Nothobranchius furzeri: one gene and its partners. The protein of the gene in region 3 purifies or fractionates together with the protein of the main gene of each other region. This does not show direct contact. Links are inferred from orthologs where the notes say so. Each region holds a gene or a part of one and is shown on either strand. Other genes may lie near its edges.

Region 1 (4,122 bases), on a different chromosome or scaffold from region 3:
GGTTTAGACTGCTGGAGGACATACTGGGTTACCCTGGCTCATCCCTTTAGTTATGCTGTATGGGTTTAGACTGCTGGAGGACATACTGGGTAACCCTGGCTCATCCCTTTAGCTATGCTGTATGGGTTTAGGCTGCTGGAGGACATACTGAGTTACCCTGGCTCATCCCTTTAGTTATGCTGTATGGGTTTCGACTGCTGGAGGAAGTACTGGGTAACCCTGGCTCATCCCTTTAGTTATGCTGTATGGGTTTAGACTGCTGGAGGACATACTGAGTTACCCTGGCTCATCCCTTTAGTTATGCTGTATGGGTTTAGACTGCTGGAGGACATACTGAGTTACCCTGGCTCATCCCTTTAGTTATGCTGTATGGGTTTAGACTGCTGGAGGACATACTGGGTAACCCTGGCTCATCCCTTTAGCTATGCTGTATGGGTTTAGACTGCTGGAGGACATACTGAGTTACCCTGGCTCATCCCTTTAGTTATGCTGTATGGGTTTAGACTGCTGAAGGACATACTGAGTTACCCTGGCTCATCCCTTTAGTTATGCTGTATGGGTTTAGGCTGCTGGAGGACATACTGGGTAACCCTGGCTCATCCCTTTAGTTATGCTGTATGGGTTTAGACTGCTGGAGGACATACTGGGTAACCCTGGCTCATCCCTTTAGTTATGCTGTATGGGTTTAGACTGCTGGAGGACATACTGAGTTACCCTGGCTCATCCCTTTAGTTATGCTGTATGGGTTTAGGCTGCTGGAGGACATACTGGGTAACCCTGGCTCATCCCTTTAGTTATGCTGTATGGGTTTAGACTGCTGAAGGACATACTGAGTTACCCTGGCTCATCCCTTTAGTTATGCTGTATGGGTTTAGGCTGCTGGAGGACATACTGAGTTACCCTGGCTCATCCCTTTAGTTATGCTGTATGGGTTTAGACTGCTGGAGGACATACTGGGTAACCCTGGCTCATCCCTTTAGCTATGCTGTATGGGTTTAGACTGCTGGAGGACATACTGAGTTACCCTGGCTCATCCCTTTAGTTATGCTGTATGGGTTTAGGCTGCTGGAGGACATACTGAGTTACCCTGGCTCATCCCTTTAGTTATGCTGTATGGGTTTAGACTGCTGGAGGACATACTGGGTAACCCTGGCTCATCCCTTTAGTTATGCTGTATGGGTTTAGACTGCTGGAGGACATACTGGGTAACCCTGGCTCATCCCTTTAGTTATGCTGTATGGGTTTAGACTGCTGGAGGACATACTGGGTAACCCTGGCTCATCCCTTTAGTTATGCTGTATGGGTTTAGACTGCTGGAGGACATACTGGGTAACCCTGGCTCATCCCTTTAGTTATGCTGTATGGGTTTAGACTGCTGGAGGACATACTGAGTTACCCTGGCTCATCCCTTTAGTTATGCTGTATGGGTTTAGACTGCTGGAGGACATACTGAGTTACCCTGGCTCATCCCTTTAGTTATGCTGTATGGCTTTAGACTGCTGGAAATACTGGGTAACCCTGGCTCATCCCTTTAGCTATGCTGTATGGGTTTAGGCTGCTGGAGGACATACTGGGTAACCCTGGCTCATCCCTTTAGCTATGCTGTATGGGTTTAGGCTGCTGGAGGACATACTGGGTAACCCTGGCTCATCCCTTTAGTTATGCTGTATGGGTTTAGGCTGCTGGAGGACATACTGGGTAACCCTGGCTCATCCCTTTAGTTATGCTGTATGGGTTTAGGCTGCTGGAGGACATACTGGGTAACCCTGGCTCATCCCTTTAGTTATGCTGTATGGGTTTAGGCTGCTGGAGGACGTACTGAGTTACCCTGGCTCATCCCTTTAGTTATGCTGTATGGGTTTAGGCTGCTGGAGGATGTACTGGGTAACCCTGGCTCATCCCTTTAGTTATGCTGTATGGGTTTAGGCTGCTGGAGGATGTACTGGGTAACCCTGGCTCATCCCTTTAGCTATGCTGTATGGGTTTAGGCTGCTGGAGGACATACTGAGTTACCCTGGCTCATCCCTTTAGTTATGCTGTATGGGTTTAGATTGCTGGAGGATGTACTGGGTAACCCTGGCTCATCCCTTTAGTTATGCTGTATGGGTTTAGACTGCTGGAGGACATACTGGGTAACCCTGGCTCATCCCTTTAGTTATGCTGTATGGGTTTAGACTGCTGGAGGATGTACTGGGTAACCCTGGCTCATCCCTTTAGTTATGCTGTATGGGTTTAGGCTGCTGGAGGACATACTGGGTAACCCTGGCTCATCCCTTTAGTTATGCTGTATGGGTTTAGACTGCTGGAGGACAACATCTCACTCTGTTGACCTCGCATACTGAGGACACGCTAAAACCCGTAGGGGTTTGTTCCCGGGCCAGGTGTGCTCGTGTTTACGACACTGCCTGGTTAAAAAGCTCACCTGGTGCTGACGGTGGTTCTGGTTGGTCTGACCGGAGGCTGGTCTACCGGACCGGAGCAGCAGCGGCAGGAGGCTGCGGGAACACCTCATCGTTGCGCTTTCCGACTAGCTCACAGCTAACAGGACGAGACAACCAGGTGGGCACTTAGGTTTCAGGTAAAATGACATCATCGTTACATTTATGTATGCTGTAGCAGACAGCTAGTGTCGCGCGCTGCCTGAACCGGATGTTCCTCTAACAACAGCAGGCTGAAAAACTCACTGTGAATTCAGTCTCCTTCAAAACTCGTCTCTGTGCTCGCCTCCATGTTAGAAAGCCGCGAGAACGTCCTGTTTCTACACCGAAATACTTCCCCTTGAACAGCGGGAACATTTACCGAGATAATCGTTCCGCTTGGCTTTTTTTTTTTCTTCTGACTCATTTTCGTCTAAAACTCAAGTATTTAATATGAAAATAAAAATGTGCTGCGGAGGCTAATTCATAACAAAAACTATTAAAACTGTAATCATGAAAGGCTAAAATAAAGACTGGTTTTACAGCATCACAAAAGGAATACGTGTTTTTATCATTTAAAGGAGCGACTGTTAGGAATCAGAACAAGCACACCACACAGACTACAGATTATTCATGAAAAACTGACAAGACAACATCAGTGTAGGGGCGACGGTGGCACAGGAGTTAGGTGCTCACCCGTAACCGGAAGGTTGCAGGTTCAAGCCCCGCTCAGTTTGTTGCTGCTGTTGTGTCCTTGGGCAAGACACTCAACTCACCTGCTGCTGTTGCTGGTGGTGGTCGGAGGGACCGGTGGCGCCTGTGCTCAGCAGCCTCACCTCTGTCAGCGTGCCCCAGGGCAGCTGTAGCTCATCACCACCAGGGTGTGAATGTGTGTGTGTGAATGGGTGAATGACTGATTGTGTTGTAAAGCGCCTTGGGGGGTTCCATCACTGTAGAAGGTGCTATATCAAACACAGGCCGTTTATGATTTAAAGACTATGACCTCTGGTTTCCTCCCACCTACCAAAAACATGCATGTTAGGTCAGAGTTGTTGTTTGTCTGTGTCGTGTGTGTGTCCCTGTGACGGAACAGAGACTTCTAGAATGGAAGATCCATTAACTCAAAGACAACAGCAGTCACAGTCAGTTTTATTGTCAATTCTACCACATGTGCAAGACATACAGAGAAATGAAATTGAGTTTTAGTACACACAATTCAGAGATCAGACATACATGGGCAAGACACATGACAAGAATTAGTGACTGTGGTCATTCGCAACACGAGTCGTGCTACCTTAAAAGATGAAAAGGGAATTACATGAGGATAAATTGGGGGAGGGGAAAAAAGGCACACCAGAGTTACTCCCGGCAGGGCGTAGCTTTACTATGCAAAAAAAAAAAAAACGCCTCAAACATATAAGCACGAACATCACAGTTCACAACATGAGACTCCGATGGGGGGGGGGGGGGGGCTGGGATCCTGTTTCCCCAGGGCGAGCAGCCCTGTGTGGCGCTCAGCCAGCTGTATCCACAGGAGGGAGGGAGATCTTGGAGAAGCGCAGAGCACATTTGAGTTCCTGCAGGTTGATGACCTCACTAGAAGTCCACAATCTGAAGGGGGGGGGGGGGGACGGGTTTTCACAACATCTGTTTGCATTCCTTCCTTCATGGGGGTTGTTGTCAGCAGCTCAAGGCTGCCTTGGCG
Region 2 (3,507 bases), on a different chromosome or scaffold from region 3:
TGGGTTTAAGGACTGGACTCTGTGGTGGTCAATCCACGTGTGAAAATGATGTCTCATGCTCCCTGAACCACTCAACCATTTGAGCCTGATGAATCCTGGCATTGTCATCTTGGAATATGCCCTTGCCATCAAAGAAGAAAACATTGATGGAATAACCTGGTCATTCGGTATATTCAGGTAGTCAGCGGACCTCATTCTTGGACCACATCCTGTTGCTGAACCTAGAGCTGACCAGCTGCAGCAACCCCAGATCATAGCACTGCCCCTACAGGCTTGTACAGTAGGCACTAGGCATGATGGGTGCATCATTTCATCTGGCTCTCTTCTACCATCATTCTGGAACAGGGTCCATCTGTACTCAGACCAGTTTTTAATAATGTGCCATCTAGAGTTATTTATATATACACATATGAACTTAAAAGGTTTCTATGCGCGAAGTTGGTTTAAATAATCTGGAGTCAGACATTAAATAAGCTAAATTGATGACAAATCAGAGATGGTACAGGAAAAAAAGTTGTTTTATTTTACATTTACAAGGTGACGTGAGCGAAGGCTAAAATTCACACAAAAGTTGAGGCTAGGGGCTTTTTTCCCCAGTTGTGATTACACGTACCACGCAAAGCCATATTTCTGGTGCAAAAGCTCTTCGCGTGGCCGGAGGTTGAAGAGCTCTTCTGTCAGAGGCGTGACCCAGCGGTCCGTGTGGAAGACGCTCTCGCCAACCTGCATTCATTTTAAAATTACAGTTTGAGTTAGATCACAGAACTAAATCAGTGGATTCCAATTAGACACAATAAAATGTTAATTTGCCCGACTTATTAAAACAATCTAAAATACATTTTATTGTATAAACAAAAAATAAGAGCTGTTTAATTAACCTGATAGTTTGTGGCTTTGTAAAACAAACTGCTGACAGGAACTCTTTATATTTATTGAGCATTTTAATAACTTTACCTTCCAGTCTGGAACATCTTTCATGAGGATCGCCTCCTCCTCTAAGTTTTCTCTCAGCATCCTCAAGGTACTAGAAGAATGAAAACCCAAAACGATGAAAGAACTGATTAGTTGCTCCTGATATTAATATGAAAAAACAGATAAATGAAGTTGTTTTTTACCTTCGGTCAAGCTCTGCCTGCATCAGAGGCATTAATGCTATTCTGGTCTCCAGTTCCTCCATTTCGAAGCGCCTGTGATACGAACCAAATATACCACTATCATCAGCTCAAATGTGACTACTATACAACCTGAAAGCTACATAATTGAGATTTTCTTACCGCCTCTCTCTGTTCCAATTGAACATTCGCCAGTAACCAACCAGCATGACACCGATGCCAATGCCAAACATGCTATAACCTGTTGATTTGTAAAATATATTAGTATAAAATTTTACATGCTCAAATAACTACTTCTTGTTGGTCTGATGTTACAGACGGAATATGGTCAACTTGTATTCATAGAGGAGGAAATGTTTTTATTAATACAACAATATTATTTATTATTGTACAACTGTGTATTGAATTTACAATAGCTTTGGTATTTTCCTATGGTTATTTCTAATGGTCACTTAAAAAGAACACTAGTTATTTTCACTTCTGGACCGAACACTAATGACTAGAGAACTAAACACTGGTTCGTGTTAGCCACCAGTTAGCTTTCGATGTCAGAAACGATTCATGGAGCGATTATGGTATTTTACAGACTTCCTTCTTGCTCGGATATTTGACAATTACCTCTTAATTAAGAGGTAAACATACCAATTCAAGCCTCAAGCCCCCGGGTAGTTTAATTCTGACTTGGAATAATCAGTTTCATGTTGACGCTGAGCAGCTAGCATTAGCCACACCGACAACAAACGTGAATGGTCAACATTTCACCTCCGCTGCGTGGGTCTGTGAAGGTAAATAGGTGAGGGAAATGCGCATTTACCCGAAAGTCCTCGTTTAGGTAGGTTTCTCTTATAGTCAAAGGGGGCATATCCTCCTGTAGGAGGCATGTCCTGCTTCACCTTGGAGCCCGACATCTTTATCCAGCCTCCTCCAACGAACCGAACGTCAGCCTGCTTGATCCACGGAGTCTTCTTCTGTTGGGACACGGACTCTGGTGCTCCACAGCTCCCCCATACGGCCGGAGCCCCTCCTTCTTCTTCTACTTGGTGTTTAGCAGCGGTTGGCAACCAGCTTAATGGAGCATTACCGCCTCCAACTGTTCCGGAGTATGGACCAGACAGTGAGCTCACAATCTAAAACCTACACCTTCACTCTCCATTCCCTCTCATTTAATCCTCCTTCCTTCTTTCCCCTTTTGCACCCTATTTCTTTCCCCTTCCTTATCAACAGCAAAAATAACTATTCCTATCTACACCCCATGAAAAACCCCTACACTCTTAAGAAACTCCACCAAATCCCTCATCTGCACCCTACAACTCGTCAACACGCTCTTCATTGTGAATTCCTCAATACCCCTCTCCCTCATCCTTTTCCGCAGAAATTCCCTTTCCACAAAATAACCCTTACACCACAGAATTACATGCTCTACCCTCTCTTCCTCCTCCTGTCACACTCCACACAACCCAGTCTCACGTTTACCTATCATTTTTAGAGTTTTGTCCAACGAGCAATGACCCAATCTGAGCCTGGTAACAACTACCTCTTCTCTCCTATTGCCCCTATTCACCCCATGCCCTAACACCTCCTTCTTAACATTATATAAATGCCTCTCCTTGCTCATATAATCCCACCTTTTCTGCCACTCCTTCACAATCCCCTCATTCCTCTCCCACAACCGAGTTTATCTCCCAACCTCCTCTGACCTATCAGCCCAGAGGACTCCGTCCTTCACCATCACCCTCCCCTCAGCATCCGAGGACTCCACCATTCACCATGGACAGGAGCCATAATGCAGATGCTGTTTTCAGAAAGGGTCAGAGCTGACTCTAGCTGCTGAGATCTCCTTTGGAATGCAGGGGAGTGCTCCTAAGGACCTTATTTAGTTTCATTCATACCAAATGTGGAACAGATGCGGTCCTGACTCTGTATGGCTTCCTTATAAATCAATCGGTGTGATCTAGGTGTTTGACTCAGTGGTGGCATCAGCCATCTTTTCTGGTGGGGTTAGTTGGGGGGAGCAGTTGGGAAGCCCTTATCTACTGCTGAGACACAGAGATTAGATAAGCTCATTAAGGTGGTCAGCTATGTCCTACTTGATCCAGTGCAGGTGAGAGATGGAAGGACTAGCAAAACTAACATCACTGAGACAATGTCTCCAACCCATACATGAAGCCATTGTGGAGCTGGAGAGTTTCTTAAGTGACTGCATGAGTACACGGACTGTTACTGAACGTCAAAATTTACAACCACCACTTCAAATTTTTGTCTGCCCCCCACACATTTTTGTTATTTGCAGTTATTTTTTGCACCCAGTCATATCTCATTTGCACATTTCTCTTTTCATGTTATCACTCCATGTAAAAATCTGCAAGTCTTTTAATATTTATTTTTAAAATGTAAA
Region 3 (4,021 bases):
CAGCAGGAAGAGCAGCTACAAGCAGATCATCCAGAAACCCAACAGAGCCGAGCTGTGAGGGACTCGGCACCGTGTCCTCACCGATGCCAAAACCTAGATAGAGATAGTTTTAGGTGAGAAAAGACTTCAGATGCTGCTGTTTCTTCATTAGGGGGAGCTACCACATACTCAAAGAAAGGTGAACTAGACCAATGAGGCTGTCAGGGTGCATCATGGGAACTTCCTACATCACAGTATTGAGTTTTATTGTCATTTATTTACTATATTTGGTTGCTTATGTGAATAAATCAGTTTTTATGACCATTAAACCACAGAAATCTAATAAAGATGTCACACACCGCCTCCTACTGTACAACTGCAGCTGAATGTTTAGTCTGTTACAGAATAAGACTTTAGGATGTTCAAATGTTGACACAAAGTGCTAATAACGAGCAATAATTTTAGATCTATGTGTTTGTTTTTACTCTAGTTTCAAAGAAACTTGTGTCACTTAAGTTTACTGTATTAAATAAAGGAGTTGAGGGTAAAAGCAGGATTAAGTTGAATATGTTGTAGTATTCACGTTATCCTGTCAACCACGAGGTTCCCACTAGTTTTTTACAAATATTAGCCACATCTGTGTTCCTGATTTTGAACAAATAAAGCTGCGATCAAGTTTTAGTTTGATATCTGAAGTTTTCTTATTACAGTAAAACCATTAAACACGAATTCTGCAATGTGTTTTTATAATTAATATGGATTTACAATTTCACTGTTTACCCTTTACTCAGATTTTGTATCTATGCTTGTTTTTGTACATACTGTAGTTTTCCATGGTGTTTGGAGAATAAACATTGTAAAATTGCAGTCAACATTATTTTTTTAACTATTACGCTTGTTTACACAGTCTGCTCTACAATAAATAAAAATTACACAAATTTCTGCAATTAAGTTGCTTTACACAAGTAAATTTAAAAAGTATGGACACATTTTCACAACTGATGAAAAAGAAATTCCTAATTCATGTTTATGTGATAATACTACTAAATAAGTACCTCAAAGTTTCAATTCAAGAAATAGTTTATTTTTCTATCACAGTGGCAGAAATGGACTCAAAAGGCCCAAGCAAACGTTTTTACTTGGAAAATTTAGAACCATTTATCCTCCTGACCACCGGGGGCGCTAGCTCTCCAATGTTCGCGCAGCCGCAATGCGGTCAGATGTCATTAGCCGCTGCAGTCTGTTGGTCCTGGACAGAATGGACATGTAAAGGGCATGCATGATGATAAAAGTTTTGTCATTTATAAATAATATTTAACCGAACCGCTTTACTCAGTTAGACCGACACGTCACTGTTGACGAGTAACTGAACGCTCGTTGCTGGTAAGTAGCTGTTAGCCTAGCTAACATGCTAATTGTTGCTAACATCTGATAAGCTTAGCTTACTATAAACATACAGCTTACTATAAACATACTTGTTACTAAAAAAAATTCAAATAAAGAGCTATTTTGTGATTTTAAAATACACAGATACTCATTTAAACATATTTAGTGCTGCAGTTTTTACTGTTAACCTGCTAAAACCTGGACATTAGAGGCAGGTGTTCAACTTTAAAGGTTATTAAGTCTACTTTAAGGTGCGTCAGCCCTTTTGGTTTGATTTTTTTTGTAACCTTTTGTGTATAATTCCAATTTCATCTGCACAAATGCTGCTAATAGCAGTGTTTTCATTCACTTAGTCCAGCCTTAGGTATTATAGAATAAACAGGGTTCCCTTAAAGGCGATACAAATGTAAGAAATGTGTCTTGAATAACGGCTGTTTCAAGACTTGTTTTCTTATTTTTGTTCAAATAAACCTGTCATGTATGCTGCCGGGGAGAAGGCAGGAACATGCAGCAGTGTCTGACTCGGGTTCAGGGGCCTCAGGTAGACCTTGGCTCCTCTGCTGCCCCATCAGTGGGGGGGGGGTCCAGGAGGGGGAGGACCCAACCTTACCTGGATGTCCTATGTCATTTATAATGCGGAAGTTGTGCAAATGCATGGATGGGCGTAGATATTCTGCTGGGTTGGTGCCCTCGGACTCCGTGAGGCTCTGTGATGCTGCTGCTTTGGGCCCTGGCAGGATGGGCTGGTGTCTCCATGCCCTGGGTGGCATTTTGGCAGCAGAGGTGCCTATTGGGGCCAGTGGGGGAGCTGGCTTCCTGGAGGGCTAAGCCCAACCAGCCGTTCCTCCCCATCCCCACACATTTCTCTCCTCCTGCTCCCTCACATCATCACACAAACATGCACATAGGACCTTGGGGGGTGGTCAAGTCAGGGAGTGTGGGTATGGACCCCATTTCCGCATTCCTGTGGCAACCTGCCCCCCAATTTTATTTGCACCTTATACACTTCCACCAACGACGTTCCACGCAAACACACACTTAGGGCCTTGGGAGTGAGCACTAGTGGTGTGCATCTCTACCTGCCTCACGATTCGATCCGATTCCGATTATCTGCCTAAAGATTTGATCTGAGTCTGAAATGCATCACGATTCTTCATGCAAAAATTTTCTTTACTTAATAAAAGCAGTAGAATAGTTTTCAGTTTCTTTTTGATTTCGAAATCCCTGAAAAACATAACATTCATCTATTCACTATAGTGAGCAATAATGTTTAAAGTGTGCTGCCTATAATTACTTAAATAATATAAGAAATAATGTTTTCGGTAGAGCAGCTTTAAGATAGAATATTACTGAACTTAAAAATAGTAAACAAATACTGTATTAAGTGATTCTTTCACATCCAGGATCCCAAAACTGAAATTAGCCCAGCCATCTGATTTAAATGTAACGGGTACATCTTTGATTACTGGTAATATTGGCCCTGTATCCTTGTCCACCTTTTCTGTTTTAAATTGGAGCTAGAGCAACGCAGTGCGCATGTCATTGCAACTCTGCCCCCAGAAATAATTGTAAAACCTCCAAACTTTATTGTCCTGCATAGACATAGACCAGGGGTCGGCAACCTGTTCCCATCAAAGAGCCATTATTACCCGTTTCCCACAGTAAAGAAAACACTGGGAGCCACGGCGTTGTGGGCGGGGCCTACCCTCAGACAGCAGAGAGCTGCTCACAACAGGTGACAGCAGTCGGTGCCGGTCGCTCGTGTACGTCAAAGTTCTCTTACATAAGACGATAATCAATAAAACGATTTATATAAAGTGGATCCAGAAGTTGTAGCCCGTCTCTGCCTACAATATTTAGATATTTTTCACCCTGTTGGTGGTTTTACTGAGCAGGTGCCACTTTTGTCATACGTTTCTTTTTAAAACATGTTTAGACTGTTCAGAATACAAATCCAGGCTCTGTCACGTTTCATTGTTGTAATTAAACTTTGTAGGTGGGGAAGGTCAGAAAAGGATCCGATCATTTTGTTTTTCCCTCATTTACAGCGACGGAGATAACGGCGCAGTGCGCCTGGCTCTGGTGTTAATCAAGTTTAATTTTATCTCTTTGCAACAATTTTCACAAGAAAACAGAACAGTTAAAGCAGGGCTTGTGTTGACCGGACAGTTCCCGTATTTGACCGTTTATTTTGACGGAGAAAGAATAGAAAGAATTACCCCGACGCATGCAGACGAACTGACATTTTATTCTACACACATCGCAGATGTCGCTAAATCACTCAAGAAAAGATTCCCATCTGAACATCTGAGCTGGACACTGCTCAGCGCAGCTCACTGTCAGCGTGTACTACATAAGGTCCATAGCGAGCTGAAGATGTGGAGAGGGGCTTGGAGCGCGTTGCAGAACCAGAGCGCATGCAGGAAGATTCCTCCGACTGAAACGAGACTTGTCACTTAGAAAATGTTCCCTGATTATGAAACTTTGGCTGAATAGCGCTTGTTCCTGTCTCCAATGTGGCGACACATCCAGGAGCCGTCTGAGGAGAATCCCAGAATCTCACATCCTCGTCAGCTCAGAACACGCATATGATTACGCACAAGCGTGACGCGTCAACCCGGTCTCACAGTAGACCGGGTTGGAACTGTTCAGGTTT

Evidence for each region.
Region 1: the proteins of timmdc1 (region 3) and ecsit purify together in Homo sapiens (affinity purification with mass spectrometry; 3 studies listed by BioGRID and IntAct, counting the BioPlex papers as one, with this or other methods). This does not show direct contact. The link is inferred for Nothobranchius furzeri from reciprocal best matches to the Homo sapiens genes TIMMDC1 and ECSIT.
Region 2: the proteins of timmdc1 (region 3) and ndufa13 purify together in Homo sapiens (co-immunoprecipitation; 3 studies listed by BioGRID and IntAct, with this or other methods). This does not show direct contact. The link is inferred for Nothobranchius furzeri from reciprocal best matches to the Homo sapiens genes TIMMDC1 and NDUFA13.

What each region holds. Positions count from the first base shown.
Region 1 is NC_091743.1:88,487,589-88,491,710, reverse strand, and holds the start of ecsit (evolutionarily conserved signaling intermediate in Toll pathway, mitochondrial), read right to left. Parts: upstream 2,801-4,122; 5' UTR 2,685-2,800; intron 2,539-2,684; 5' UTR 2,513-2,538; coding exon 2,423-2,512; intron 1-2,422.
Region 2 is NC_091751.1:56,690,203-56,693,709, reverse strand, and holds ndufa13 (NADH dehydrogenase [ubiquinone] 1 alpha subcomplex subunit 13), read right to left. Parts: upstream 2,231-3,507; 5' UTR 2,021-2,230; coding exon 1,927-2,020; intron 1,354-1,926; coding exon 1,275-1,353; intron 1,188-1,274; coding exon 1,116-1,187; intron 1,025-1,115; coding exon 955-1,024; intron 724-954; coding exon 604-723; 3' UTR 501-603; downstream 1-500. UniProt on the Homo sapiens protein: Accessory subunit of the mitochondrial membrane respiratory chain NADH dehydrogenase (Complex I), that is believed not to be involved in catalysis. Complex I functions in the transfer of electrons from NADH to the respiratory chain.
Region 3 is NC_091754.1:55,555,290-55,559,310, reverse strand, and holds the start of timmdc1 (complex I assembly factor TIMMDC1, mitochondrial), read left to right. Parts: upstream 1-1,221; 5' UTR 1,222-1,362; intron 1,363-4,021. Other genes in the region: poglut1 (protein O-glucosyltransferase 1), read left to right, coding at 1-58.